Struthio camelus: one gene and its partners. The protein of the gene in region 2 interacts with the protein of the main gene of each other region in a pairwise test. Links are inferred from orthologs where the notes say so. Each region holds a gene or a part of one and is shown on either strand. Other genes may lie near its edges. The genes, in order: BHLHE40, TLE5, SDCBP and LMO4.

What was found.
Region 1: the proteins of TLE5 (region 2) and BHLHE40 interact in binary tests that used the Homo sapiens proteins (3 or more experiments, as listed by UniProt). The two-hybrid records come from large-scale screens. The link is inferred for Struthio camelus from reciprocal best matches to the Homo sapiens genes TLE5 and BHLHE40.
Region 3: the proteins of TLE5 (region 2) and SDCBP interact in binary tests that used the Homo sapiens proteins (3 or more experiments, as listed by UniProt). The two-hybrid records come from large-scale screens. The link is inferred for Struthio camelus from reciprocal best matches to the Homo sapiens genes TLE5 and SDCBP.
Region 4: the proteins of TLE5 (region 2) and LMO4 interact in binary tests that used the Homo sapiens proteins (3 or more experiments, as listed by UniProt). The two-hybrid records come from large-scale screens. The link is inferred for Struthio camelus from reciprocal best matches to the Homo sapiens genes TLE5 and LMO4.

The regions. Positions count from the first base shown.
Region 1 is NC_090955.1:2,511,278-2,519,197, forward strand, and holds the start of BHLHE40 (class E basic helix-loop-helix protein 40), read right to left. Parts: upstream 3,014-7,920; 5' UTR 2,931-3,013; coding exon 2,848-2,930; intron 2,750-2,847; coding exon 2,680-2,749; intron 2,423-2,679; coding exon 2,315-2,422; intron 1,737-2,314; coding exon 1,613-1,736; intron 548-1,612; coding exon 1-547. UniProt on the Homo sapiens protein: Transcriptional repressor involved in the regulation of the circadian rhythm by negatively regulating the activity of the clock genes and clock-controlled genes.
Region 2 is NC_090967.1:7,814,053-7,821,522, forward strand, and holds the start of TLE5 (TLE family member 5), read right to left. Parts: upstream 3,016-7,470; 5' UTR 2,914-3,015; coding exon 2,887-2,913; intron 1,293-2,886; coding exon 1,195-1,292; intron 1-1,194. UniProt on the Homo sapiens protein: Transcriptional corepressor. Acts as a dominant repressor towards other family members. Inhibits NF-kappa-B-regulated gene expression. May be required for the initiation and maintenance of the differentiated state.
Region 3 is NC_090943.1:135,811,706-135,818,998, forward strand, and holds the start of SDCBP (syntenin-1), read right to left. Parts: upstream 3,012-7,293; 5' UTR 2,873-3,011; intron 2,194-2,872; exon of another isoform or gene 2,171-2,193; intron 1-2,170. UniProt on the Homo sapiens protein: Multifunctional adapter protein involved in diverse array of functions including trafficking of transmembrane proteins, neuro and immunomodulation, exosome biogenesis, and tumorigenesis.
Region 4 is NC_090949.1:20,631,992-20,639,140, forward strand, and holds the start of LMO4 (LIM domain transcription factor LMO4), read right to left. Parts: upstream 3,006-7,149; 5' UTR 2,872-3,005; exon of another isoform or gene 2,698-2,871; intron 746-2,697; 5' UTR 743-745; coding exon 507-742; intron 1-506. UniProt on the Homo sapiens protein: Transcription cofactor. Plays a role in establishing motor neuron identity, in concert with MNX1, acting, at least in part, to disrupt LDB1-LHX3 complexes thereby negatively modulating interneuron genes in motor neurons.

The DNA of each region.
Region 1 (7,920 bases), on a different chromosome or scaffold from region 2:
CTTGCAGAGCCCATCACGTCACTGCTAAAAGGGCCTTCGTCTTCGGAAGTTTCCATCCTGGTCCTTTTGGCTGGTGGGTCCTCAGTCTCTTGCTTAATAGAGCTTATTCTCTCCTGGACAGTATATTTGAGTTCCGTATCCTTTTTAAAATACTGCTGCTCGGATTTGGAGTCACTTTTCTCCAGCTCTCCCCCATAGCCGCTGTCTGTGTCGGTGTCGCTGCCGCTCTGCTCGCCGCTGGAAGGAGCGAATGTCCTCTGTATCACCGGCACGCAGTTTTTGCCATGTCCCTCGGCCGCTCTGGTCAAGGAGCCAGACTTCTCCTTCGAGTCCACTGTTTTCGGAGGGATGTCTGCGGCTTTTCGGCCGGCTCCGCCCTGGAGCACCTCGGAGGCCATTCGGTGCAGATGGCCGACCAGCTGAGAAGACTTCAGGTCCTTGCCGTTCTCGTGCTTTGCCAGGTATTGCAGCATCTCCTTGGCGCACATCTGGAAACCGGATCGAAACATTTCCTGGCTGGAATCGAGGTTTCTTGATGACAGGTCACCTGAGGAAACGTTAGCAGAAAGAAATTAAAAATTAACAACGTGCTAAATAGGTCCATTCCCATCTTCGAGGCACCCTGGAGAGAAGGGCTTCACCTCCGCTGCTACAAAACAGCTGAACAGGCGAACCTGAGGGTCAAACCGTGTTTTACACGCGCTCCCCTGATTTCTGTACAGGCATACGTTGTTTCTTCTTACATCCACCCGTCCACTTTTGGATGTGAATTTCAAATTTGTTTTTTATTTCTAGGTCTCCTGTACGTGGCAACTGTAACACGGGTGCAGGTATGGAGAAACAGCAGTGAATCAACCTGGTACCTCCGCAGGGAAGAAGCGGTTTGAAAGCCAGTTTGCAACCCGCTTCCTTCCCACCAGGAAGGGAGCGCTTGCAGCAAGCTCACCCTCCTTCAGCTCCAGGAACCGAGGGCCGTTTTGCTTCAGCTATAGGACCTTGGCTTAAAGCTCGATCGCACACCCCGTGGCTATTAAAGCAGTGGAAATCTCTTTAGAACAGCTAAATTTTACTTTATCAGATTCACGTGAGTGCCACGTGTGAAAACAGGAGAAGGAAGTACATTTAAAGCACAATAAGCCGCTAGACCTGGCCCCCTCTTAGCCGACAGCAACACGGGCTGATCAGTTTAGAAAGAAGCCTAAAAAAAAAAAAAAAAGGTGTGTGCAAAAAAAGGCAGATGCTTTCATATTTTTGAGGAGGGAAAAAAAAAAACGGATTTGGTCCAAAGCTCCTAAACACCAATAGAAAGGCTCGGATGCCTTCGGAGAGAACCTTAAGCAAAACCGAGCTTTAAATAAAACTAGTAACGTTCAAATGAATTTTAAAACAAAACTCTCAGCGCGCTCTGAACTGACCGAACTAAGAAACGAAAAGCGTCTTTCTCCTGAGGACTCATGAGCAGAGTGAGGGAAGAGGAAGGCGATTAAAAGAAAGAACTCCTTCCTCCTCCTCCCTGCCCTGGGACCAAGTGCCACCAGGGCACGGCGCGGGCTGGGAAAGAGAGTCCAGGGCGCGCAGGCAGGTTCTCGCTCGCTGGGCTTTGAACACTCACCGGCTTGTAAGCCGTTCTGCAGGGCAATTATCTTCTGCTGCTGCTGCTCAATGAGGTTGGTCAGCGCCTTCACGTGCTTCAAGGTAAGCTCCAGAACCACCGCCTTCTCCAGGTGCCCCAGAGTCTGCAAGCCAAAGGGACGGGTCGGCGCCGGCCGCCTCCGACCGCGGGGAGCCCAAAAGGGCTTCCAGCGTTTTCAGAGCGACGGGCAGGGGCGGACGGCGCCGGGAGGCAAGGCTGGCGGGGCAGCGCCGTCGCCCGGGGCGGGGAGGGGGGGGCCCTGCTTCGCCCGAAAACCTATCTTTCTCGAACCTGCAAATAAACGAACTCGAAAGCAGGCCGCAGAAAAGGCTACCGTCGTGTCTCACGGTTATTTTCGGACCGACCGCATAGCTCACAGAGAAGTATTTTATTGATCTGTTCTGCTGCCCCTGCTGGTATCGTGACCTTAGCGCAGGGGAAGGCAGCCCGGAGCGGGCCCGAGAGCCGAGGGGAGCCCGGCTCTCCTCCGGGACCGCCAACAAAGCCAGCGGCGCCCGGGGTCGCGGAGGCGGGTGAACCCCCCCCCAGCCTTTCCGTGGGGTGGCAAGGGAAAACCCGCTCAGAGAGAGCGCCAAGGCCTGGGGGACCCCTGGGAGGGCGGTGGTGGCAGAGCCCTGGCGGGGGGACGGGGCGGCGGGGCGCCCCCCCCCCCCCACTTACGGTGAGTTTGAGATGCTCGGGCAGGAGGTCCTTCAGCTGGGCGATGCACTCGTTGATGCGGTCGCGCCTCTTCTTCTCGATGAGCCTGTGCGGCAGCTTGTAGGTCTCCTGGGGGGGAGGCAGAGGGGGCTGGGGCGGGGGCAGCGCGCCGCCGAGAGACCCCGCCGCCAGGCCAGGGGGCTTCGGCAGCATTTTTGGGGGGTGGGGGGGGGGTGCGGCAGGGTGGCTACAAGCGGGGCGCAAGGGCGCGGGGCAGGCAGCGCCCCCGGGGCGCGCAGAAAGTTTTCGGGCAAACCGCTGCCGAAAATCGGGAAAGGACGAGCTGCGCCCCCCCAAACCCCGGTCGGGGTCCCCCCCCCCTTCACCTTACTGTCGTCGCTCCTCTTCAGCCCCCTCCGCGGCTTGTACACTTGGTACATGTGGGCGAAGTCCAGCCTGCACGAGCGGAGGGAAAAGCGGGCGGGTTAGAGCGGCGCAGGGCGCAGCGCGGCGCAGCCCCCCGCGCAGCGCGGCGCAGCCCCCCCGGCGCTCACCCCGGCCCGTCGGTGCCCTCCAGGGCGGGCAGCTTGCCCAGGCACAGCGGCGGCGGCGGCGGGGCGCCGGGCAGCCGCTCCATGGCTGCGCGGGGCTGCGCGGGGCTGCGCGCTCAGGCGGCGGCGCGGCGGCGGCTCATGGCGCGCGGGCTGCGCGCGGCTGAGCGCGGCGGGGCGCGGCGGGCTGGGTTAAGTGCGGGCGGGCGGCGGCGGGCGCGGCCCGGGCGCTGCGGGCGGCGGCGGTGGCGGCGGCGGGGCCGCCTCTCTCCCCCCCCCCCCCTTTCCTTCCCTCCCTCCCTCCGGTCACATGAGTCTCACGTGGCGGCTCGTCTCCCCCCCCCCCCCTTTCTCCGCTCCGCGCCGCCCCGCGCAACGTGACGGCGGCGCCGCGTGGGAACGCGCCGCGCTGGGGAGCGCAGCCGCCGCCCGCCGTGCCCGGGGGCGGCCCCGCTCCGCCGGCCTCCGAGCTGCGCACGGGCGGCCCCGCGCTGCAGCCTGCGCCCTCTCCCTGCAGCCCGCGCTGCAGCCCGCGCGTTGTCCCTGCAGCCTGCGCTGCGCGCTGTCCCTGCGCGCTGCCCTGGACCCTGCCCCTGCACGCCACCCTGGGCACTGTCCCTGCACGCCGCACCACATGTGATCCCTGCGTGCTGCCCTGCACGCTGTCCCTGCACGCTGCCCTGGGCACTCTCCTTGCACAGCACACCATACACTGTCCCTGCCTGCTGCCCTGGGCACTACGCCTGCACGCCGCACCACATGTGATCTCTGCACGCTGCCCTGCACCCTGCACTGCTCACTGTCCCCGCATGCTGCCCCGCACGCTGTCCTTGCATGCTGCCTTGGGCACTGTCCCTGCACTCCACAGCACATGTGATCCCTGCACGCTGCCCTGCACAGCACACCACGCACTATGCCTGTGCGCTGCCCTGCCCTGCACGCTGCCCTGCACGCTGTCCCTGCACACTGTCCCTGCACGTCACCCTGCGCGCTGCCCTGCACGCTGTCCCTGCGCGCTGTCCCTGCACACTGCCCTGCACGCTGTCCCTTCACACTGTCCCTGCACGTCGCCCTGCACGCTGCCCTGCACGCTGCCCCTGCACTGTCCCTGCATGCCGCCCTGCATGTCGCCCTGCACGCTGTCCCTGCACGCTGCCCTGCACGCTGCCCTGCACGCTGTCCCTGCGCGCTGCCCTGCACGCTGTCCCTGCACGCTGTCCCTGCGCGCTGTCCCTGCACGCTGTCCCTGCACGCTGCCCCTGCGCGCTGTCCCTGCACGCTGTCCCTGCACGCTGTCCCTGCACGCTGTCCCTGCACGTCGCCCTGCGTGCTGCCCTGCATGCTGCCCTGCACGCTGTCCCTGCACACTGTCCCTGCACGCTGCCCTGCACGCTGTCCCTGCACGTCGCCCTGCACGCTGCCCTTCACACTGTCCCTGCACGTCGCCCTGCGCGCTGCCCTGCACGCTGTCCCTGCACACTGTCCCTGCACGCTGCCCTGCGCGCTGCCCTGCACGCTGCCCCTGCACGCTGCCCTGCACGCTGTCCCTGCACACTGTCCCTGCACGCTGCCCTGCACGTTGTCCCTGCACGCTGCCCTGCACGCTGTCCCTGCACACTGTCCCTGCACGCTGCCCTGCACGCTGTCCCTGTGCGCTGCCCCTGCACGCTGTCCCTGCACGCTGTCCCTGCGTGCTGCCCTGCACGCTGCCCTGCACGCTGTCCCTGCACGCTGTCCCTGCGTGCTGCCCTGCACGCTGCCCTGCACGCTGCCCTGCACGCTGCCCCTGCACGCTGTCCCTGCACGCTGCCCCTGCACGCTGTCCCTGCACGCTGTCCCTGCGTGCTGCCCTGCACGCTGCCCCTGCACGCTGCCCTGCACACTGTCCCTGCACGCTGCCCCTGCACACCGCCCTGCACGCTGTCCCTGCACACTGTCCCTGCACGCTGCCCTGCACGCTGTCCCTGCACGCTGTCCCTGCACGTCGCCCTGCACACTGTCCCTGCACGCTGCCCCTGCACGCTGCCCCTGCACGCTGCCCTGCACACCGCCCTGGGCACTATCCCTGCGTGCCGCACCGCATGCGATCTCTGCGTGCTGCCCTGCTCGTTATCCCTCCGCGCTACAGGAGCGCGGCCTCCACCTTGCGCCTGTGCCTTGGGCGCAGGGTGTGCAGGTGAACGTTTTATCGGCACAGCTGCGGTGTTAAAGGCTGCTCTTTCATACCAATATCCGTATACAGATTAAGGAAAAACAACAACAACAACAAAGAAACACATAAGCTGATACCCATATTAAACGCAGCCTCTGAACTAGGGAAACCCAGGGCGAAGCGACTGGGAGTCCAGGCCTGCTAGGGAACGGTTAGAGGGAGGTGCTATTTCTTGCCCGTCTCAGACGCTTCGGAGGTTTCAGTCTCCGGCGGAGCAGCCGGGATCCTTGGATGCCAGCTGCTGGCAGACGCCGCGTAGGACTGCGGCGGTGCGTGCCCGCCGGAGCGTGCCTTTCCTCCGGAAGGGTGCTGGTCATTTACCCTGCTGCGTGCGGAACAAGTAGAGGCAAGTTCACCCGATAAAAGGCGCATTTACCTAGAGAAGGCAACGGGAGCGGAGGGCAGAGCCGTCGCTGCCTCCCCGGGGGGTTCTGCACGCTCCCTGCAGGGAGGAACCTGCGGGCCGCAGGGATCACGTTGGGGCCTAAAGAGGTCTTACGCGAGAGACGGGGGCACCCGCTTTAAGGCACACCGTCGTTTGAGGATGCGTGTTATTACCAGGAGAAATCCTAGGAGAAATCAGAGCCCTGCAGCAATCTGCTAGCCTTGACTATAAGCTCTGTAAAAAAAAACAAAAAGCCAAACAATTCCTTACAAGAGCCAAGTGCATCTCCAGCACAAACGATACACCACTGCATTAACGACCCAGAGCTTCCGAAAAAAAAGATGCTTAGGTTGTGCCGGGCAATAGGCCTGTCCCAGTCAGTATGGTCTTCTCTGTATTTTGCGGCCCAGGTCTGCAAACGTGACATTTATCAGCAGGGCCAGCTCAGGCGCTTTGAGGGTCTGCCGTGATGCTGCAGACCCTGCCCACGAGCGAGACGATTCCAGCTCATCGGAGAGGACGTAGGTGTTGACAATTAAGCATCGCGCGTACACAGGGGTAGGATCAGACCTCCGGCCTGTAAACTTCTCAAAGCAGAGATTGTCGTTCATGCGGGTGCTTAATAAATTTGGTAATCATCGCCACAAAAATGAAAGCGATGTCTTTGTCCTTGCAGATGAGGTGAAAGCGAACAGAACCGGCATAAATAACGGGGAGTGAATCAGATGGTTAACTCTCTTTTTGCTCTGAAGATCTCAGGTGTGATCTGCCAAACAAAGGGGGAGAATCACATACGCTTTTCAGTCTGTGCCATCACTGACCCTCTGTCTAAGGCAACAGACATAATTAGAGCTTGCTGCAGCTGATTGCTAATGAAAAATGAGGTTTGGGGCCAACCTGCTCTGCATTTTAAGTTTAAACTCAGAGTGTACGTGGACAATTTCATGCCCATGAATTGTTTGACTCTTGCATGCTCTTTCAGATATTCGGTACATTCCTGCAGTGGGTGGTGAGCTACAAATCAGGGTCAGAGGTAATCCCCAATTATTTAGCCCTTTTACTGTTCTCGTGCTTGCCAAACAATTCTCCATATCAGGATTTACTCATGACCTTAAGGGAAGTTGCCAAGGATTTAGGAGTCCCCCTAAAAAGAGGATCCAAATGAAGTTATTACATTCTTGGGCATCAAGTTAGATTGCTGGAGAGTTGAATTACATTTTCCTGAGGATCAGTTTTCATAAGCTAAGGCTGATGCAATCATCAGTTTGCCATCTCGATTTTTTTTTTGTTGTTGTTGTTGCTGATTTATTTCTGCGTGGAAGGTTCTTTTACAACGTATGATTGAGGCAACAGCAAAACGTTTAAAAAGGCTTAATTTTCTAAAGCCATTAAGGGAGAAACTGGCCTTTCGAGCGCTCGTTTCAGAACGGCCGAGTGTCACAGGATAGCAGCAGCTTGCGTCCAACAGGGATTTGTAGTTATTTACAGATACGTTAAAAGGCAAGGGTTTGCAGTTTGTTTTTGAAGGTGTGCTGAAGGCTGGCGAAAGGGATTGAGTCCCTGGACGTGTTTCTTCCTGAGGGCTTGTCCCCTTCCAGCCACGAGGGTGGCAATTTGGGGTGAAACGTTCTGAAAATCACTGGCGCTGATGTCTGATCGGAGCCTATGTGGGCAGCGCTGGGAGTTAACAGATGGGTTGTGGATTCAAGCTTACGATAAGGTTACTGAGGGTGGTTTTGTTTTAAAATGTCTCTTACTTAATATATCCATGAAGGCCAGGCATGTGCCTGTGGCCTGTAATCAAATAGCTGACTCTCCTTCTCTCTCATTTCCAGCAATCTCGTGTCAGGTTACTGGCACCGGAGGTTAAAGAACAGCCATGTCTTGGACCACAAGCCAAGGTTGGAAGCTAAGGTTATGCCGAGCAGGAGGAGCTGCATGGAAGTGGTTAGCCCTCCGCATCTGACGGGCGTCCTCCAAGGGCTTTCTAGTTAACACCCATTACTTTCTGCAGAAGTAGAAGTTCACGGGGGAGCCAAGCAGTCTGTAAGGCAGCCGCGTGGAGCAGCTAGGTATAGCCTTCTACCAACCTTTACTCAGCAGATGTGGCAGGTCTTTCCCAAGACGGGCAGATCTCCAGCCCGTGGGAGGAGCGCTGAAGCCAGGCAATATTGCATCCTTCACCAAACGCTCGCCGTTTTACCGGGGCCTGGGCTGGGCGGTCGTTAGACTTCTTGCTCAGCGTAGCAATTTTTGAGCCAGGTTTCAGGAGCGCTCAAGATCAGCAGCTTACTGAAGGCCCTAGGCATATCATTTCTCAGCCTTATTGGTAAAGGCAAGCCCATGAGAACCCGCGCTCACCAGCCTGGCGGAGGATCCCCAAATCCTTCGCACGGGGTATGAGGAAGAGTTTGTCATCCAGCAGGGCTCTGCCTTGTTCTTCTGGTAGCCTGCAGGTAATTGCAAAAGCTTGAATTTA
Region 2 (7,470 bases):
CCTGCATGCGCTGTGGTTTTATGTTTCAAACAAGAAACAGCTTCACCTACACAAAACCTGTTTCTCTTCTAGCAGATTACGTCCAAGTGCGGTGGCGGGGGGGAAAGCCTCCCTTCCAGTGGACATATTTCTTGAGGCTTCCTGTTCCATCACTGGCACTGCTCAGAGGCGGAGGGAATCCAGGAAATAGCCATTTCTAAGCTGTTACTCTGATTGCCTTCTGCCAGAATGACATGACTACAAACCTATGACCCAGTTGTCTGGCAGAGCCCAGGCCAAGGTGAAAGGTACATAAAGGCACAGCAGGGCTACACAAACTGCCATAGCACCGTGGCCACAGAGGCACATGCTACAACCAGGTCTAGAGGCCTGCTAGACCATGACAGAGGGCATCACTGAGTTGATTTAAGCTCAGAGTTTTGTGTTTCTTAAATAAACACACACACAAAAAGCAACAAACCATCACAAGCCAACTTTCAGGTCAGCAGAAGTATTTCCACTCTCACATGCACAAAAGCGGAAGCATTTGGATTTAAGTGCTCCCTGCAGCATTTGTAATCCAAGAATGGCAGCCAGCGAGAAGAACCGAGGAGAAACTCCCAGCAAGACATGGGAGGCCTGGCAAGCCTCTGTGCAGTCCTGGCTGAGCAACACACAGAGGGAAGTCCTTGGCTGGAGAGGGAAGATTGAACATTCTCCTCTCTAGGCTCCTAAGCGGACATGATTAATCCCTTCCCTGAGGTCCCATTTTAGACAAACATGACCCGAGCTGTACGATCAAGTCCCTCCCTTAGTGTTCCAGTTCGGTCCACACTGCAAGGCAATGGAGCAGAAGAATCAAAGTGATTCTTCTACGTCTTGCCACTGCTTGTCAGCCCAGCAGTAAATCTGCTGAGCACTCAGTGCAGTTGTCCCTGGGGAGCCCAGGATGGGCGCAGCAAGCTCCTCCTCTCTTGTGGAGAAAGTCCCCCCAGAAGGTGAGGGGAGGGGGGTCCTTGATGACCTGACACAGGTCATCAAGTTCCTGCAGGGTATATCCCACCAACCAGCGCCCAGGACGGCACTACCCAGGGTACAGGCACCCGTGGGCGCTTCTAATGGTTCTTAGCTCTATGGAGAGCAATGCTCAGAGTTCCCTGTCCCAAGACAAAAGTGTGGAGGACACTGGGACCTGTGACACACAGGAGCACCCACCTGTGATACTGGGCCTGCAGGAGCTGGAACTCATCTTTGATCCGGTCGCAGGAGTCAGAGGTTGTGAACTTCAGCTGTTGTGGCAGGTGAGAGGAGCCCTTGAACAACACATGAAAGAGCGCTGGGCACTGAGCAAATGCAGGGGTGGGAAGGGAAGCCAACACATGCTCCTTCCCACGAGCACAGTTTCCTTCTCAGCTACCTAGAGGTGCCTGTGCTGGCCTGATCCCACCACGCATCCCACAGACACTAAAGCACAGATTTGCTTTTTCAGCGGTACATCTAACCAGGAGCACAGATCATTTTAAAAGCAGGACGGAAGCTGCCACGAGGAGACAGAGAAGGAGGTGACACCCCCAAGGGCCCTCCTGGGGAAACAGCATGGTCAGGCCAGGGGGACATGCCCAAGGTCACCTGTGGGAACTCGGACGCAGAAGTTTGGCCAGGGTCCCTTTTCCAGGTTTTATCTCCACAGTCACCTTGCACTACAGACAGGGAAACGGAAGCGGGAGGAAGCTCCTCCTGGGGCTGGGACCCACATCTCTTGCTCGCATCTCATCCCCCCAAGCTGTCCTCTCCCTCAGCTGGGAACAAGTCCCAGGGCTCTAACCACAAAGCCACCCGCCGCCTTCCTTAACAACTGCACAGAGACAGTAACCAGGGCATCTCTGCAAACAACAAACACCCCACGCGCGAACGGGAGCCAGGACTGTGCGGAACGCCCTGGCGGAGGGATGGGGGGCCAGGGCTCGGGAAGGGGGAGGAGACCCCCCGCAAAGCCTCCCGCTCGCTCCTCGCTGCGGCGAGGAGGCAGTCAGCCAGTCAGATCGGGAGGCAACGAGGGCTCCTGCCAGCACCGCGGGGGGGAGAGACGTTGCAGCAAGAGCCCCCGAGCGAGCGCGGGATGCCGGGGCCGGGAGCGCTGCAGCCGCTCCGCCAGAACATGGAGGCGCAGAGGCAGCCGCTGGGACACGGCGCGCGTCACCCCCGGGGCGCCCTGGCCCGCGCCCCGGCTCGCCAGAACCGCCCTCGGGGCTCCACCGTCCCCTCGGACCCCCAGCCCCCCCCCCCCCCGGCAGCTCTGCCCCCCCGGACCCCCAGCACCCCCCAGCAGCTCTGCCCCCCCCCGGACCCCAGCACCCCCCGGACCTCCAGCACCCCCCGGCAGCTCTGCCCCCCCGGACCCCCAGCACCCCCCGGACCCCAGCACCCCCCGGACCCCAGCACCCCCCGGACCCCAGCACCCCCCGGACCTCCAGCACCCCTCACAACAGCTCTGCCCCCCCGGACCCCCAGCACCCCCCGGACCCCCAGCACCCCCCGGACCCCCAGCACCCCCCAGCAGCTCTGCCCCCCCCCGGACCCCAGCACCCCCGGACCCCCAGCACCCCCCAGCAGCTCTGCCCCCCCCGGACCCCAGCACCCCCCAGACCCCAGCACCCCCCGGACCCCCAGCACCCCCCGGACCCCCAGCACCCCCCGGCAGCTCTGCCCCCCCCGGACCCCAGCACCCCCCAGCAGCTCTGCCCCCCCCGGACCCCAGCACCCCCCGGACCCCCAGCCCCCCCTCACAACAGCTCTGCCCCTCGGCCCCCAGCCCCCCCACCACCCCCGGCCCCCCGCCGTCCTTCACGGGCCCTGCGCCGCCCCCAGACCCCCCAGACCCCCCGGCCGGGCCCGGCCCCGCCGTACCGAGTGCCGGCTTTGTGGAAACATCATGTCAGGCTGCGGCTCGGCCCCGCACGGAGCGGCCCGCTGCTGCTGCCGCCGCCGCCGCCGCCGCCGCCCGCCCGCCCGCTGCCGCCGCCGCCGCGGCGCCCTGGGCCTGGGCCGCCGCCGCCGCCTTTGTCCGCGCCGGGCCCGGCCGCCCCGCCCCCGCGGCCGCCCCGCCCCGGCCGCCCGCTCGCCCGCGCCGCTCCCGCCGCCGGCGCCTATTGTCTAATGGCGGCTGCTGCTCCGGCTCCGGCTCCGGCTCCGGCTCCGTCCTGCGGCTGCTCGGCACCACCTGCCGCCGCCGCCGCCTCCCCGGGCCGGGCGGGCCCAGAGCCGCCCCCGCCCCCGCCGCGCCCGCCCCCGCCGCGCCGGCCCCAGCAGCCCCGAGCCCCGGCCCCGGCCCCGGCCCCGGCGGCCCCCGCCCCTGCAGCCCCGAGCCCCGGCCCCGGCCCTGCCCGGCCCTGGCAGCCCCAAGCCCCAGCCCGAGCCCCAGCAGCCCCGAGCCCCGGCCCCGGCCTCAGCCCCGGCCCCGGCCCCGGCCCTGCCCTGCCCGGCCCCGGCCTCAGCCCCGGCCCCGGCAGCCCCGAGCCCCGAGCAGGGCACGTGGGAGCGGCGCCGGCCTTGGCGGCCCCGAGCTCCAGGCCCCGCGGAGGCCGCTGGCGGTGCCCGGCTCTGCCCCGGGGCTGGGATCCCCTGGGGCTGGGGGTCCCGCTGGGGCTGGGGGTCCTGCTGGGGTGGGGGTCCCGCTGGCACTGGGGTCCCCTGGAGCTGGGGGTCCACTGGGGCTGGGGGTCCTGCTGGGGCTGGGGTCCCGCTGGGGCTGGGGTCCCCTGGAGCTGGGGGTCCACTGGGGCTGGGGGTCCTGCTGGGGTGGGGGTCCCACTGGGGCTGGGGTCCCCTGGAGCTGGGGGTCCCCTGGGGCTGGGGGTCCTGCTGGGGTGGGGGTCCTGCTGGGGTGGGGGTCCCACTGGCACTGGGGTCCCCTGGAGCTGGGGGTCCCCTGGGGCTGGGGGTCCTGCTGGGGCTGGGGTCCCGCTGGGGCTGGGGTCTCCTCCAGGGCTGGGGTCCCACTGGGGCTGGGGTCCCCTGGAGTTGGGGGTCCACTGGGGCTGGGGGTCCTGCTGGGGTGGGGGTCCCACTGGCACTGGGGTCCCCTGGAGCTGGGGGTCCCGCTGGCACTGGGGTCCCCTGGAGCTGGGGGTCCCGCCAGGGCTGGGGTCCCGCCAGCCGGTGTGGGTGCTCGGGGCAGCGCCAGCTTTTGCTGCGCACCAAAACTTCCCGCCTCCTGCAGCGCCTGGGCCGGAAGGGCCCCAGCCCGCGCAGCAGCGCCGGTTCTCGCGGCTCCCCGGTCGCGCGGGGAAACGGGCGCCGGAGGGAGGAGGCCCTGCAGCCGCCTCGGCTTCGCGCCGGTCCCAGCCGCGGGCCTGGGGCGGCACCATCGCGCCTGGCCCGCGTTCGCGCCCTCCGAGTGGGAGAGCAGGGCTTGTTTGCGCAGGGTTTTCCTTTTGCTTTCTTTCGGCCGTGCCTCCTGCCGGGGCCGGCCAGGGTGCAGCCCGCCGGCGCGAGCGCTCCGAGGGCTCCGGTCCGGCCGAGCTCGCCGCGTGCCGAGGCTTCACGGCCGAGCCGGCGCCGCCGCGGGTGCTGCCGGCGGTTCCCCCGGCTCCGTCCTGCTCGGCGCGCCGGGGCCGGGACCGGGGCCGGGACCCACCGGCGGCCGCGGGCAGGAGGGAGCTCGTGTGCCGGAGCGCGCGGGGAGCTCTCGCCACCTTCAGAGGCTGCTCTGCCTCTAGCTTTAAAAATCAGCACGCTTTCTGATTAAAAATAAAAGCCCGGACGTCATGACTCCAGCGACGCGGGCTGGGCTGTGGCGGTGTTTATTTTTAAAGAGAACAATATAGCAGCCGAGTTATTGTGACACCTCCTGCGTGCGGCGCGGTGGCTTTTTTCCTTCGCCGTCTCCGTGCTGGAGGCAGCGGTGACAGCTCCGCGCCGAGGACTGTCAGCGGCGCAGGCGGGCCCGGCGCCTCCGCAGCCCGGGGGCGGCGAAGCGGGGGTCCCGGCCCCCTGCGAAGCCGGGGCGCCGCGCGGGGGCTCGGCCGGGGCCGCGGCGGCCCCTCGACGGAGCCCTGCTTCCCCTCGGCTGTTTTATAGCTACCGCGTCGGCGAGTAAGTTAAGCGCCAAGAGGCCGTGCAGCGTGCAAGCGCCGTGGTCCAAACCGCGCGTCGGCAGCCGGGGCGGCGCGGCTCCCATCTTGTTCTAACTTGCTCCCTTTAATAAACCCCCTTTGGCGCAGGCCCTCCTTGCTGCTCCCGTGGGCTGCAAGTTCGGAAGAGCAGACCTCTTCTATCGCCGCGGCGGGCCGAGGCCTGGGCCGTGACGTCGGCTACCCCGTGCCACCCATCGAGCGTGCGCGCAGGAGGAGGTGGCCCCTCACTGCGAGGCAGGGCTGTTTTTCCCGTTTGGCAGACTGTTTGCCCGTGGGAGGCGCTGAGGGATGGTGCTGTGCCGTGTCGGGCCACACCGTGCTGTGTGCCGTTGCACTGTGCCGTGCCGTGCCGTGTTGCACCGTGCCGTGCCGTGTCACACTGTGCCGTGCCGTGTCGCACCGTGCCGTGCCGTGTCACACCGTGCCGTGCCGTGCCGTGTCACACCGTGCCGTGCTGTGTCGCACCGTGCCGTGCCGTGCCGTGTCACACCGTGCCGTGCCGTGCCGTGTCACACCGTGCTGTGCCGTGTCGCACCGTGCCGTGCCGTGTCACACCGTGCCGTGCTGTGTCGCACCGTGCCGTGCCGTGTCGCAGGTGGCTGCTCCCTCCACTTTCGCCCCCGGGACGCTGCAGGTTTGGTAGCGATGCAGGCGGAGACGCACGGCAGGGTGAGGCCTCCCGGGCCACTGTCCTGCCCGACCAGCCTGGGCTACGCACGCACCCCCCAGCTGCGAGCCGCAGCCCTCGTCTTGCCTCTCCCCTGCTCCTTCCTGTGCGGCAAGTGCTCCTGCAGACCTTACAGTTCCTTTTTCAACAGGAGTGGAATTTTTTCCAGCTGAGATAAAGCAGCAAAGCTGCCACAAAACAACCTGAAAGAGCAGATGTTTCCCCAGGGATGGTGCTGCCAGCGCCGCGAGGTGTTTGTCCTTGATGGAAATGGGACCAGGCTCCTCCTGCAGTTTACGAACTTCCACGAGCAACAATAATCATTATAAGAGCAGATTAAACTTCCCAAAAGATGAGGCAGAAGAACTCTTCCACGGTGCTGGGCCGTCAGCGCGAAGCTTTGCTCCAGCATGGCAGCGCTGCCCCTGCGATGCTGCCTGCACCCGGCAGCGGCTCCGACCCAGCCCTGGGCAAGGGCCGGGGGCCGTGACCGTGGGGGGGGACGGGTGACGGGACCGGGCACCCCGCACCCCCGAGCCACGCCGTCCCCACGGGACCCGCCACCCTGCGTCCCCATCACGCAGCCCCGCTGCCCGTCCACCCCGGGCGGGTTCAGAGCTGCTTGCAGTTGCTCCCTTCCAAGAGGAAAATGAAACGTTCCTTTATGGGCTTTTATGTTGGCTACAAAATGTTCCACTTTATGTTTTTTCTCTCCTTGCTTTCTTCCAGGAAACACGCTAATTTATGGCATAATCTTGGCAAATCTCAATCCAGGGGAACACAAACCTGCTTGTGCCTCGTAAGTGACATTTTAATAGGCTCCGTTACCAGCAGGCTGAGGAATCTGCATCTCAAAGGGGGGAATTATAATCTCACCCAAGCGATGGGTCCGCACGTCGGCAGGGGTGGACTCGGCCCCGGGAAAGCCTGGCCCCGAGCAGCCCAAAAGCAGGCCCTCGCCGGGGGATTCCCAGAGCCCACGGCAGCCCGGGCTCCGGGAGCGGAGGTTTTCCAGGGCGCTCCGGGAGCCGGCAGCAGCTCCCCGGTGTTTTTGTCTGCTGCGGGGACGGCAGTGCCGGGAGGCTGCGGGGCCGGTCCCTCCCACACCGCCCCCCTCGGCCAGCAGTGGGGTCCGGCCGGGCCCCCTGGGCCCTGCGCTGTTCCCGGCGTGGCCGGCAGGAGCGATTGCGCGACAACGTCCAAACCAGGCTGAGCAACTTCCCCGTCGCTCCTGAAGGGAACAGCCTAACCAAGCTGCTGAAAATAAATCCGTTTAATGAAGAGCCTTTGTAAATTATTCAGATATGATATCCCGCTCCAGCCGTGGTTCAAGGAGAGATGCTGCAGAGAGACTTGCTTCTCAGATGTGCTGGATGCGAGGTGAAAGTCATGCTGTCACTGCAAAGGAAGCGTGGCCCTAAGGTCCTTCTCTTACCTTGAAAATACCTTATAAGTTACCTGGAATTAAAGAAGGAGAGAAAAAAAGGCGCAGCAGCAATGCAGGCCCTGAGTGGAGGACCCGTCAGGACCGCTCTTGGCCCCCAACACTGAAAGCTGCCACGTACAGGAGGGCTTGGCAGGACTGGGGCCTGGGGCAGCAGGGTCCCCCGGCCCGGCTCATGGCACAGCGGTGCGGCAGGACCTGGCGGAGATGCGTTCAGCCCCTCAGCTGCGCTTTGCGTGCGGTGG
Region 3 (7,293 bases), on a different chromosome or scaffold from region 2:
CTGTTTTTTGGTTTTGTTTTTTTTTTTTTTTTAATTCTGTTTTAAGCCAGCGTTGACATGAAACGGTCACTTGTTTTGACTCATCCAAAACAGATAACAGCAAGTGCAAGCCCAAGTCCAATGAAACCGTCACTCGGGTAAGCAGTCCTCCAGACTTGGCATTCTGCTGCCGCTATCTCTAAAACCATCCACAACACCAGACACACAATTACTTCTAAGCTACATCTGTGCTAGCAAATTTAAACTACAGGTTCAAGCACTGACACAGTCTTTCAAAATTAGCATAGTCCCTGGCACTGCGAAGGCTTGCTCCCCACGGATGGCAAAGTCACCCTGCTTTAGGGTGATGAGGGAAGGGAAGGGAAAGAGTTCTGCTCAGAGTGAGCTAACGACTTCATATGCTAGGCAGAGAACAGCACAAGGTCTGTTGAGTTGTGGTCCCAGTTTCCACAATCTAGTTACATCTCCTCCTCCATCAGCTTTAATTTTTCCTCCACGTGCCACTTTCACTCCACACTGCGATTCCTGGTCATGTTTGTCACAGAGGGCCATATCTTTTTCTAATTTACCAAGAGGAGCGTGGTACTTCCTGTAGGAGAGCACTACCAAAGCTAAACCTGCATTTGTTCTCTGATCATTTAAGAAAATATTCCAGGAGTTTATCCTGCTGTTTTACAGTCATATAGGCCACCTTGTCTCCTCTGCTGGAAGTTCGCAAAATACAAGCATTCGTCAACATTACTGAGGAGCTGCTCTTAGCTTCCTGGCTATAATCTTAATGGTTACTATAAGTGAGTTTCTAAATAAATAGCTAGAATAACTGTCACCACTGTAATTACATTTAGTGAGTATGTATCTTTGTTGCTTTTATGTCAAAAAGGAGTATTTTCCATTTCTGCACCAGCAGTTTTAACACTTAACTTCCTTTAGCTAATTACAGGTCACATACGTATTTAAGACGACAAAAAACAGTGTATTTAGTTTAGAATGTAACCATTTGATAGCCATTTTCACCATAAGAGACCACCAGTAATCTTGGGAACAATCTGTCTATGACTTGTACCTCATGTTATCCACAGTATAAATAAGAGTTTAAACAGACCCTGAAACAGCCTTAGACAGAAGCTAGCAAAGGGAGCTACCACAAAAAAGGAGTCATTAGCTTCCTTTCCTCTCAAAAATCTACAGTTATTTGCCTTGATCTATAGAATCATTTGCTTTGATCATTCATACACTCCTAAATCTTGTAAAGAACACACGTAGTAACCTAGAAAGCGTAGAAAAGCAGAAGTGAAAACAGAAAAGAGTGGAGCAGAAAGGATGGAGTCTTAATTCAGCTAGCAATCCCACAAAACTCTTCCGCAAAGCCTTCTCCACTTTTCTGTGCATCTTTGGCTTGGAAATGCTGCTACGCAGCAGTAAGCACTTCTGACTAAGTAGGTCTTATTTACTAAAGGAGAGTAACCAATCACCGGCCTGAGGAACCCATGGAAATACAGCACTCGTGATATCCTTACGCTATCAGCAGGAAGTTTTAGAGGCAGAAGTAATCTCTAACACAACAAAGTGGCATAGCTGGAAGCAGACAGGCTTTCAGACGCATTTTCCAGGTCTGAAATGACAAAGCTAAATGCAGTTTAAGAACCGAACTTTGAGGCTGACCAGCATGTAGCAACTGCCATCTCTGAAAGGAGCAGCAGCCAGCAGGACTTGGGGGAAAGGGGGGGGGGGGGGCCCACGGGGAGAAGGAGGCATTTTATGTGTTTTATGACTATGGTATATGGAGAAATTACTGCAGGCTGTAAAACTGGTACCTCTATTAAGCACTGGCTTTGACTTCCAGAATAGCTAGAAACCAATGAACTATAAATTCATCTTTAAAGGAGAGACAGGACAAAACAGCCTGAAGGTCAGGCAGAGTACATCAGGAATAGGGCAGATTGTCTTGCAAGACATGTTCTCCACGAACAACCGAGGTTTGTTTGTTTTTCCCCCCCTTCTGATACATGTCTGATTAGCTTTAGAGCAGTGGCTCTCATTTTGCACTTAGCCCCAAAATCTGCTGCCTCCACTTCCAACCCGAAGAAAGGCTCCCCAGAAAGACATCCATTCCACCCCCAAAACAATACTAAATCGGTCTAAAAAGAAGGCGTTACAAGCACCTACAAACCTTCCCACGAACGCACTGGAGCTAGCGGAGAGAGAAAGGTCTTACAAGGAGCCTGAACGAGGAGCCAGAAACCACCCCCCAAAAACGAGCCTGGCTCGTAACAAAGAATCAAAACCACCCCTGGAGCCTGATTCACAGGCCGCCCGAAGCCAGAGCGGGCCAGCACACACGCAGCCGGTTCGCTCTTGGCTTTCAGCGCCGGCAGGACGAGCGGGGGCGCTTCTAACGCGGCGGCGGCGCAGCAACAGGCGGCGGCGGCTCCCTCCGAGCCGGGCCGCGGCGGAGGCCGCCCCGGCCGCGGCGCGACATGGCGGTGCGGCGGCGCCCCGCCGCTGAGGTGGCGAGGGGAGGGGAGAGGGGAAGGGACGCGCCGCTTCCACAGGCGGAAAAACGAAATCGCTTCTCGGCTCTCGGCAGAGCCGACTCTCCCCGGCGGCGCCGGTGGTCCGAGGCGGCCGCGCTGCCCCCCGCCCAGCCCCTCCACGGCGTCGCCATGGTGCCGGCGGCGCCGCTTCGCCTCCGGCGGGAGCCGTTAGCGCTGCTGCCGCCGCCGCCGCGAGCCCCCACCCGCCCCCGCGGCCGGCCGGGCCGAGCCGAGGCGAAACGGCGCCGCCCCGGGCCCCGCACACACAGGGCAACCGGGGTGGGGAGAGGGGGAAGAAGTCCGGTGGCGGTCGCAGGCCGACAGCCCCCTCCTCTTACCTCAACCCAGGCCGTTCGCGGAGGGACCTCAACGCACGGAGGGAGAGCGGCGGCGGTGGCAAGAGCAGCAGATCCCGGCGTCGCCGCTATGAGGGGCGAGGGGGCGGTGGAAAAACTGGGCCGGCACCGCGCATGCTCCGGCGGCGGGAGCCCATGACACGGCGGCAGGGCGGGGCCGGGCGGAGCCCGGGGGCAGCGGGCGGCCGGGCCGGGCCGGGCGGAGCCGGGGGGCAGCGGCCGCTGACGCTGACGCGGGTCAGGGCGGCCGGGTCGCGGCTGGACTGCGGGGCTGCCCCGAGAGACGGGCTCGGGCTGCCGCCTTTCCTATCAATTCCCCCCCCCCCCTTTTTTTTTAAATAAAATGTATTCTATATGCTTTATATCATTACTGATTGTTTGGGGTTAGTCCTTGCTTTTTTTTTTTTTTTTACTTTTTTTCCTCCTCTTTGTATATTTACAGCTTTCAGCGGTGCAGAGGGCCCTGCGCTCTCGTCGCCTCAGGTGCGGCTTAGCACCCTACCTCGGCCTTCTCCGACCGGGAGACAAGGCACGTCTCTTAGGGGAACACCCTAGAGAAATCACGATTTAAAATACACTAGTTACAGGAAAATTCCACTACAAACTAGGAGAGTGGCTCTTATACTTGACTACTGTAGTTATTGCGCTTTTACCTTATTTGTAGCGTTAACTTCTCCAGCATCAATTGGCAGTCTTCTAGATCCTTCTTTGCAAGACTACCTGTGGTCAAAAAGTTTGTTCCGCATGGCGGGAACTATTCTGATCACCCCAGAGTTTCCCCTGGGGTAGGAAACGGCAGGGTTCGGGGAGCTGGTCGGACCGTACGCTGGCCCTGAGGAAGCAGCTCTTGCTCTGGCTTCCAGGCTCTTTCCCCTGTCCTGCAGCTCCCAACTGACCCCGAGCCACTTCCAACCACTGCCCAGTGCTTTTGCAGGGCAGTTCAACTCACTGATGCAGCAGAAATTGAATCCCCGAAAGACGTGAATGTTTTTCCTCTGGGCTAGTGAGCTAAGCTGGCAACGAAAGGATCCCACAAGCTCTGGTGCCAGGGCAGGGGAAGGGAGGGTGTTGCTGGAAACAGGAGAAAAGAGGAGGAAGAGGAAGGAAAGGGAAGGTCCCTCTCTTTTAAACAGCAGCAAGCTGTTACGTCATTTTCCACTGCCTAGGAAATTACAACTGTATTTAAACAGATTTTGTTATAATACATATTTTTCAGCCCTCCTAAGCTTTTTGGATCTCTCCCGTTGTCAGCATCTTTGGTGAGCATCACAGGGCTGCATCGTGTTCTGGCAGCAGTCACAGCAGCGCTGAATTTGGAGATACAGCCTCTGTCCAACCACTCAGAAGGTTTCTGGTTTTATATCGAATTATTAGCCAGGTCTGCCACCTTCCTAAGTACCTTAACCTTTGACTACTGAGTCATGCAACTACAGATCACTAGATATATTTATAAGTGCAATTTCGGGCCTACAGTATGAGTTCACAAAAATTCTGTTAGGTACCTTTTGGGCAGGGAGAGAGAGAGGGAGGGAATCTAGCTCTGGCTTAATAGGGACAGATAATTATTGCTTTTGTAGTGCTAAATTTTCTCTGTAGTCAAAAATGATTTTTAATATAAATGAAAGACTTAAAAGTGTGTATGCTCAGAATGAGAGTGTAGCTTTTCATCCCACGGTGAGCTCGGTGGGGGTGAAGCCCTGTGCCCAGCCTGGGTAGTGGTGGTCATCAAGAGCATGGTAGTGTCCGTAAAGCATGGAAATAGCAGACGTGTGATTGACTGAAGCACTTAACACGACTGTGCATTGTCCACATGGCGCAACCCTGCTGAACATTGGTGCTGACAGCTGAGGGGCAACATCTTATTTCATTTTGACTTCGAATGCCCTTCTTGTTCCAGAGGCACTGCTCCTTTCTCCAGAAAGCTAGGTTTTTATTTGCCTTTTGCTGCATTACTTTATCCCTTGTCATGATCTTTTGAGACATTCACTATCAAGGTAGCAGCATTTGTCTGTAGATGTCAGACCTGCGTTGTCAATGCACATGTCTTGATTTTACCCAAGAGGCTGTAATAGAACATGCTTTTATATATATTTTATGTTTATATGTTTATTTATTTATAATATATATAATATATATTCTATGTAATTTTATATAACATATTATCTATATCTCAAATATATTTATGAATAAATATATATAAGAATAAATATATATAACATTTATATTTTATTTATAATGAGGTTCTAGCCGAAACACTGGACTCCATACAGTCTGTTATTTGTTGGGCTTAGTTTGTGTGCACTATTAAAAACACACAATATAAAAATAAGCAAAGACCGATCACAGGCCAGTAGCTCCGTATGGTAATGGAAGTGAATTTCATTACCTTCATCTCCGAACATATCGTGAAACCCAACTTACTCAAGGTTTTAAAGAAGAATGCTATGAAGATGCAGCCTTGCTTAAGACTACTACAGTCTTGAATAGAGACTACTACAGTTTTGAACTGAGAAAGATTAACCTTGTTATACTGAAAAACATTCTTAAAATCATTGTTCATTTAAATATAGAAATGAAACACAGCAAAACACAAATATAATTATTAGGAAAAGGCTCTGTCTAATCTGTGCAGCGAATGCACCATTTGACATGTGTCAGGGTCTTGATTCTTTGAATGCAGAGACCAAAGGGTCCCACTGTCCAAAAAGTCTGAGTTTCCTTCCCAGGGAAGCTGAGACACGGAAGGGGATGGCATGTTCCTCAATCTCTTTGTGAGGTGAACTCAAAATCTGGGACAAAGAAAACACTTTCGTGCTCCAGAATTAAGACGTTGGCAGCAGAAGGGCGTGGTTGTGCCTTTCTATGAACTCTGTGGCGATTGGGGAGCTCTAAAGAATCGGAGCTAAAACACTTACACAAGCAGCTCTCGATTAGTTCCTGAAGTATTTGCAGAAAGCATTCCAAGATTACCTATTGTTTGAGAGAAGTGGAACAAATGGCAAAGTTATCAGATTTTACTCACTGACATTAGAACACCCATGGGCAATTACGTGGTAATTTTCCAATTGTCAGTATGCTGTTATTTTTTTTACTAGTCGTATGCCAACTTTCAAAAAATAATAGAAACCACCAGATCAGTATCAGTGTTAGCAGCTGCAAAACTCTTAATAAAATAATACATGCTAATCACTCCAAAATTCACATTTCTCCTTTGAAGCTGGAAGTAAATTGTGCTTGTGTTCCTTAGGAAGCTCTCCACCCCTGCAACAATGAGATGTTATAAATGGTCACTCAAAACATGTACAAACTGTGCAAGAGAGCACCCTGGCAGTACTAGGAGTGGAATAACTGTATTAAAGAGGTTCTTTGCCTCTAATTAGAGTGTGTTGGAGTGAGTTAACTGATCCTGCTCTCAGCTGTGTGCAAAGAAAATCCTAACGTACTGTTTGTGTTTCTCGAACAAAGCAGCTCTGAGCCCTTTTAAGTAGCTCCCTGGTGCTGCATTGCACTGGGCACTGAGACACTTCTAGAATTTGTGAAGAATTTTTGGAGTTTGCGCGTAGAAAAAAGAATTCCAGAGCGAAAAAAAACCTGTCATACAGAATAAATTACGTTAAAAGAGCTTCACCCAAGTCAAACATTTAACATTAGAAACTAACAGAATTAAAATTGCCTGAGTCACTTTGTTTCTGACTCCCTGTTCATGCGTCAAAGATCTAGTCTTTTTAATACAGTAGAACATATTATTTCCACTCTCTTCTCATCAGCCCGTGGAATGGATGGTGCTCAGTGAATGTACAATTTTCCAGTGTTCAATTTGCAGTTCCGTACCTGATTTCCTGCCTGCTATTCAAACTCCGCTGTAAAGATGGCAATATTAATGTTGTCACAGTCTTCTGAGTAACACTCCAATGTCTGACTGCTGTGCAAGCAATTATTAATATTTTTTCTACTGTGTTTCCCAAAATATTAACATATTTCCCAAAATATTAATATTATAACAATATTTAATATAAAATATTAAACATATTATTAATATAAACATATTTCCCAAAATATTAATATTAATATTAAGGCATTTAACTTGAATATGCTCTTAATGCATCTTTTCGAGCTTTCAGTTCTACAAACTTTTTGTGAGAATTGTCGAACAGTATTTGTTAAATCAGCACCTTACTGACTTCAATCACAGTTATGATTGAACACTTCTGTGCCGAACACTTCTGCAAATTAGACTCCAGGGCCTCTATGGGGCAACGGAAAAACGAGAAAGCACAGTGGTGGCTTGTGAAGAGTCTGGCTGAAGGACTTGTCATTACGCAGGAACCCTGCGGCAGAGGTGCGAAAAGCATCGGATTCTGCAGACTGGCTTTCCAGCACTTAAGCAACATGACATTCCTCTC
Region 4 (7,149 bases), on a different chromosome or scaffold from region 2:
TCAAAGGAGTTTAAAGGTGCTTATGTAAATATCATAATTAATCAGATACTAAAGGCAGGCATTTCATTATGTAGCACCTCTGCCACAGCCTTATTTAAGCCCTACGATTTTAACATTTACCGTTCAGATATGCACGCTTCTCCTTCAACACTACAACAAAGCAGATTAATTTAGCCTCTCTGATTGCTGTTTATTTTTAGTTAGGACTTGTTTTGTGCTGACAAACCACTTTAAAGTTACAGTCGTCGTTCCGCCTGCCCCCCCTCCTTCCCTCCGCTTGGCAGCCACAACTGCGCCCGGGGCGAGGAGCGAACGGGGCTCCCCGGGCTGGCGCGGCCCCCGCTGCCCGGGCAGGGCCGACCCGGACCCGGGCACGCTGCTGCCCCGCGCCGCCGCCACTGGCCCGGCTGCCTCCTGCCTCCACGGAAGCCACGAGGCGGGGGGGGGGGGGGGAAGCTTTGCCCGGCTGCCTGCCCGGACGCCCCCCCCCCCCCGCCCGCGCTCACCTGATGTAGTCGTTTCTGCAGAGGATCATGCCGCTCTTGGTGTAGCAGGACGTGCCGATGTCCCCGAGCTGGGCCTGGCAGCAGGAGCACTTGAGGCAGCGGCTGTGCCAGTAGCTGTCCATGGCGTAGAGCAGGAAGCGGTCGGCGATCTTCCCCCCGCAGCCGGCGCACCTCTTCCACGAGAGGGAGCCCGCCGTCACCGGGGGCGGCTGCGAGCTGCCGCCGGGGTTCACCATGGCCTGCGGGAGAGGCGCGGGAGGGAGGCGGGTCAGGGCGGCGGCGGCCGGCGGCGGCGGGGCGGGGGGCGCCGCGCCTCGGCACCTCGCGGGGCGGCGCGGCCCCGCTCCGCGCTGCTGCCTCCGCAGCTGCACTCGGCGAGTTAGGAACAGTCCCGGGTTTTGTTTTGCTCAGAGAAAAAAAAAAAAAAAAAGTATGTGAGGGGCGGGGGGGGGAAAGAAAAAAAAAAAGTTGTGAAACTGGTTTTTCAGTCTAGGAGAGACTCTCCAGGCGGGGTAACGAGGGGCTCGGAACCGGCTGTCCAGACGTCGAGGTTTGGGGTTTTGGGGTTTTTTTTTTTTTTTTTTGAGATACAGAAAACACCCAGAGAAAACACTCCAGACCGAGGACGCTGGCCCGAATAACAGATCATTGAACTTTAGGACGCCTGTTAACTTCCTATACAAACATACTCAACTTTTGTCTCGCTAATCTGCCCTTGATCAGCAATTTAAACGCTAAAGCTTTGTTACTCAAAAAAAAAAAAAGTTTAGTGACCATAGGAAAGCAGCAGGATAATGAAGTGCACCGCTCAGGCTGCAGTTAGTCTGGCTGCCTCCAAAACTGCTAGTAAGGGCATTTTTCACTTTCTAATAAATGCTTGATGCAAGCAGGACAACTCGGAGATAATATAGGAATCAATTCATAAAGCTTACTCTAAACCGATTAATTTGTTGCCTTCAATCCAGAGTCCAATAAACTCCTGGTGTTCCTCCAGTCACTTATACTATAAAAAGATCAAGTTATTTACTGCCAATTAAGCAGCATGTTTTGTCTTTGTCCTTTGTAAGCCGTGTGTGCTCATACCGAGGCATCCGGCTGGCTGCGGAGGACGCTCGGGCTGATACCTCCGGAGCAGCGAGGCGAACTTTCCTGCCACCGGCCCAACTCGGCTCCAGCAGAGCGAGAACTCAGGCCGATTTTAAACACACATTTCCTCAGAAAGAGTTCCTGAAGGTACGTCCAGTGACCGCACAATAAACCAGCAGAACTGCACCAATTAAGCTGTAACAAAAACCCCGAGACTTTGGAAAGAAAACCACTCTAAAAGCCATTAGCATTGCATTTATCCGAACGCATCATATACCTTTATGTAAATTGATTTCTGATGCATTTGTTCAAGGAATTGCCTTTTGTTACAGTTTCCAGCTACAGCCTAAATGAATCTGCATTTCCTGCTCTGAGTCTTTAAACCGTTTCCCTACGCTTTAAATCACTCCGGATTTCTTAAAAGAAAGAAAAAGACTCCATGCTACCACATCACCCCGTCTTTGTCGAAGGCAAATATATATAAAATGGGAAACGTTACACCGAGAAAACCATCCCGTAACCCCATTAAGCTAAAGCTCTTAAGGACAAGCAATACCTTAATGCTGATTAAATCTAAAAAGATGAATCAAGAGGACTGACCAGAAAGTGACTCCCTTGATAACTAAGGACGGGCCCTCATCAAGTTTCATTTAGAGTTGGGGGGAAAAAAGCTTTTAACTTAAATAGGCTTACTCTAGTAATTACACAGCCAAGCAATTTAGGTCCTGGGATAGGAGTCGGTGAAATAGAAAGCAGAGCTCGAAGCTAGAGGCAAAATAACCCCCCCTTTTAACAGCGTCTCTGGTGCTTTTTTAATGGAGACCAAGGGAGGGACAAGCGGAGAGCTGGCAATTTGTAGTACAAAAATGGATGCTTAATTCACGTCTTGGTTTTAATTAGGTGATTCACCGGATTTCTCCTGGATTGAAACAAAAGACCGTGCGGGGGGCAGGAAGGGAACGGGAGAGGGGAGAAATAGAGAGCTCACTTTGATCTTTTCTGCCACTGTTTCAGCACAGTGTTTACTACGGGCGAAGCGGGCGCCCGGCGCTCCCCCCGCCCCTTCCCCTCCGCGCACAACCGCGGCCGGCAGAGCCCGCTCCCCTCCGCGGCTGCGGACAGGGGCAGCAGCCCGAGCCGCCGCCAGGCTTTGTACGCGGGGCCGGCGACAATGCCCGCGGCTCCCCCCGCGCAACGCCGCGCCGCGCCGCTCCGCGCAGCGCGGGACGGGGCCGCGCACGCTGCGATAATACCGCCAGTAATCGCCAGCACTCCTTACCTGCTTCCCCTCTATATTGCAAAAGGCCGGGGAGCAACGCCGCTCGGGGTCACCCAGGAGGTTTCCGTGCCACGAGACAAACCCGCCGCTCGCGCTCTCAGCGGGCTCCGGGAGCGCTGGAGGGGGCCCCCAGCCCGGCAAGTGGCAGCCCAGGCTGGAAAAATATAGATACTGCTACGAGCGGCGTCTGCCTGGGTCCTTCCTCCAGCTCGCACTTCCCGGAGGGGAGCTGCAGAGCTCAGTCCCCGCCGCCGAGCTGCACACGCAGGGCGCCGCCGCCGCTCGCTGCTGCAATCGCCGGGTAAGTTTGGCAATGTGGCTTCACTTTGTATCGCCTCCCCCCCGCCCCCCCCACCACCTCCGCCCCCTCCTCTGGGCGCCGGCGGCTCCCGAGCCTCCCGCAGCGAGGAACCGGCCGGCCGCGGCCCGCCGACGCGCCCCGGAGGAGAGGGCGAGCGGCGAGTTTGAGAGGGGCCGGGCGGGAGCTGCTGCTGCCGGCGATCCTGTGGCGGCGGCGGCGCTGGCAGGACTCAGGAGGAGGCCGCGGTGCGCGCGTGCGTGCGTGCGTGCGTGAGTGAGTGAGCGTGTGTGTGTGTGTGTGTGTGTGAGTGCGCGAGTGTGTCCGTGCGGGCCTGCGCGCCGCGCCGCCCCGCGCTCGCTCTGCCCGCTGCCCCTCACACATGTGTTACTGACAGAGCAGAATCCCAACTACACTCCAGCTCGGCTCCCAGCGTCAGCCCGCCGCAGCCAATCCGCCCCCGGCTTGTTCAGGCGGAATAATAAAACCTGCCAATCCCGGGGAAGACAAAGGAATGACTGAAAGAGGAGGAAAAAAAAAAAGAGCGGAGGGTGGGGAGGAGGGGGCAGAGGAGGAGGGGAATGGAGAGGAAGGAGGGAGTCAGGTGGGAAGCGGTGGCCGCCGCCGCCGCCCGGGCGGGCTGTGGGGAGCGGCGCCCGCGGCCGTTGGGCGGCCGTTAGGGCGCTGCTGGGCGGCCGTTAGGGCGCCGCTCGCCGCCGCCCGACCCGCTCCCGGCCACCACTTGAGAAACTTGCAGGCGAGGGGCCGTGGCGGCTGCCCGTGCCTCGGCCGGCTCCCGGGCGGCGGCGGAGGTGGCGGTGGCCGCTGGAGCCGGTGGCGGAGGCGCGCCCCCGCGCAGGCCCGCGCCCGGGCCCCGGCCTCGGAGACGGGCAGGCGGCCGGCCGGGAGGGAGGGAGGGAGGGAGGGGAGCGTCCAGCTCGTGTTTCGGGTAAAATGGGCCTGGTCAAGCCGCTGACGTTTGAAAATCCACTCGCTGAAACCAGCGGGGAGTTGTGCTTAAAAATGAGTGTCAGTATATACCCCGCTATTATTAGTACCCTATAAAAGATTTAAAAGGGTTAAACCGCTGCAATTGGCTGGCAGTTGGCAGCGCTGCTTGTCATTCGGAAAGACAACTGCATTTCTGGAAAAGAAGCCAAAGCGTGATAGCAAACCAGAAGTAATACTCGGTAGTGACACAGTGGAAAAACATGTAGATATATATATATATTACTCGCACGTTTCTGAGGCCTAAGCAGAGCCCACACGATAAGCAAAACCCAGCACCCTGTAACAACCCCTAGCCCGCTGGAAACAATGGAAGTATCTGCAACGAGAGGGCGGTTGGCCGGTGCTCGCCAGGTCCTGCAGGCCGCCGGGCTGGGCCGGACCGGACCGCTGCAAGGACGGGCCCCCGCCGGGCACGGCCTGCTACCGCGCGCAGGCCTGCCTCCGCCGCGCAGCACGCGCCAGCGGGTCTCGCAGAGCTAACTGCAGCTAAAGAGTCAGTTAAATTACACATTTCCAGGATCCGTTAAACAACACAAAACTTGGTGATGTTAGTTTCTTGATTCCAGACCGCTGACGTAAGGAGCAGCCAACGCAGGGAGAACAGTCGGACTTCACTGTGACTGCAGGAGGGGGCAGGCGGCTGCAGCGTGTTCCCAGGGACTAACGCGGCCGTGCCCGACGGGACAGGGTCATCCTAAATGGGGACGGGTCGCTGCACGGCTCGCCTGGTGCAGTTAACTGCTGTTGTCAACTACCCGTTTTATGGCTGCAGCGTCACTAAATTACGAGTTTGTGTGGGTGCGCTGCCTCTCGATTGCTGAAGGCAACAAAATATTTTAAACCTGCTCCTCTTACAGTCTAGTGTAGAAGCGATGTGCCGGCACAAGTATCTGAAATTCTAGCCAGGGAAATTTATTTACAAATATATGCGTTTGTACTAAGAAGCAGACCAACTTCCCTCTGACAGCCCGACTACTAAATCTTGTCTCTGTAATCAAAATCCAGGTGTACTTTAACCACAGCGCCACCTGTGGGTCTCCTTTATTTCTGCATCCCTGGCCTGCAGGGGACTGAGGAGAAGAGTGCCCAGTAACCAGATAAAATTTATTTAAAATATGTCCAGCTGGGAAAAATGTACCTGGGAAAACGTAGGACATCATAGATGTACTCTGTTTTTATTATATATCCAATAAAATATTAAAATTTGAGTAGCACTATAGGTATGATTTAAATATAGGGGAATACACCATTTCTTTCTCCATAGACAGGGCTATCTGAAGAATCTATACATAAAGTAGACAGGGAGCGCATGGCAAGCTTCCACGAGGGAAGGGGGAAGAGGACCAGCACTGTGGTTAAAAGTAAGTGGTGCATTTTTTTTTATCATATGTCTATGCAATATGTCATCTGGATGTAATCTCCAGATACATATTACATTTAAACATATTCAGCAGTTTCAGATTTGTCATTTAGGATCTGTTACAATTTAAAATATATAAAGTAACAAGACGTGCTACGGATAATCAACTATCACTGTTATTCTAGCTCTCTGACAGCTAAGAGCACAAGAATAGAGCAAACGCCAAGCTAAAACAAAGTCTAAGCTGTCTAATTATTTAAGGCTATAATGGCTGGAAGCTACCAAATTCAGGCTCTGGAAGAACCTTCAGGAGCTCTTCTTATTGGAAGAGATACTCTACCAAGAAACTGCGCCATAGGCACTACAATGTTTACTAGTCTTGCAACTGATAGTGATAAGAAAAATGGGAATTACCTCTTCTGAAGGAGCAGAGTTTTAAATGGCTTAATGACATTTTCCAAATACCATTATAATGTTCATATCTTTTTCTGAAATCTAATCTTCACTAATTTTTGTGATTAATTTTAACAGAGGGAACCTTAACTGAGAGCATTTTGCAGAGCAATATTTTTCTAATTTTTCTTTTGTGCAGCATCTGCTGTTGCTGTGCTGTCATCTTCGTTATGTTTTTCATTGTCTATGTGCCATAATGTAATTAGTTAGTTCAACATCATCTGTGCTATTAGATGAGATGTTTCTATGGTAAGTTAACGTAGTTCTGAGTAATTGGTAGATTTCAGCAGTAGGCACGAATGTATCCATCAACTTTAGGTGTATTTTAGTCCGCAAGATTCAAATTCACTTGGCATACTTCATCCTCAAAGACTGTTAATTTTGGCTGAATGGATAAAAAACACAATGCAGAAGAAAATCTGGCTGCTTATATTGTGGTACTGTTGGAGTCAGGGAGAGGAAAGCATAAAATTGCTGGCTTAGTAGAAAGTTGCAATCTGAAGGTCTGGAAAACGTTTCAGCTTGTGATCCAAATCGTTCTTAAACCTCCACATGCCACTAAGATAGCTGATAGTCCAGAATTCACTGGGGTTCTCTCTCCATTCGTGAAAGGAGTCTTAGTTCTCTCCCCAAATACTGCATTCCTATGGGATCTCAACTGTCTTTTCCTTTTCTCGTTAGAAATGTTGAGGCTGCCACTGTGTTGGGAGAGCTTCCATGTTGCACTTTGCTAGTCTGTGTCTTCCAAACTCTACCTTTTGAACAACCATTTCAACTTTTAACGCAAACCCTCTAGTCTCTTTGGAAGCAGTGATGAAAAATCAACAGCCACTTGTTATTTTAAAATAACACACCCTTTTGCTAGCATAAGATCTTCTGTTTTAGGATCTTAAACAAATTACAAATGTGACTAAGTATTCAAGTGGGCTATCTAATGATATGGGAAAGTGCACATCCCCTGCAAGTTGTGAAGAATTCTGCATGGCTTGACTCTCAGCATTCTTTTTCAAACAGCAGACAGTACTTTTCACCCCAAACAGCAAGATAACTCACTTTTAGAAAAATATGTATAAATTTTGACTTGCTAGTAAACACATGAGTAACATTATTTACAAGAATCCAGTTCCATGGAAGGTAGTTAGGAAGGACAGTTTAT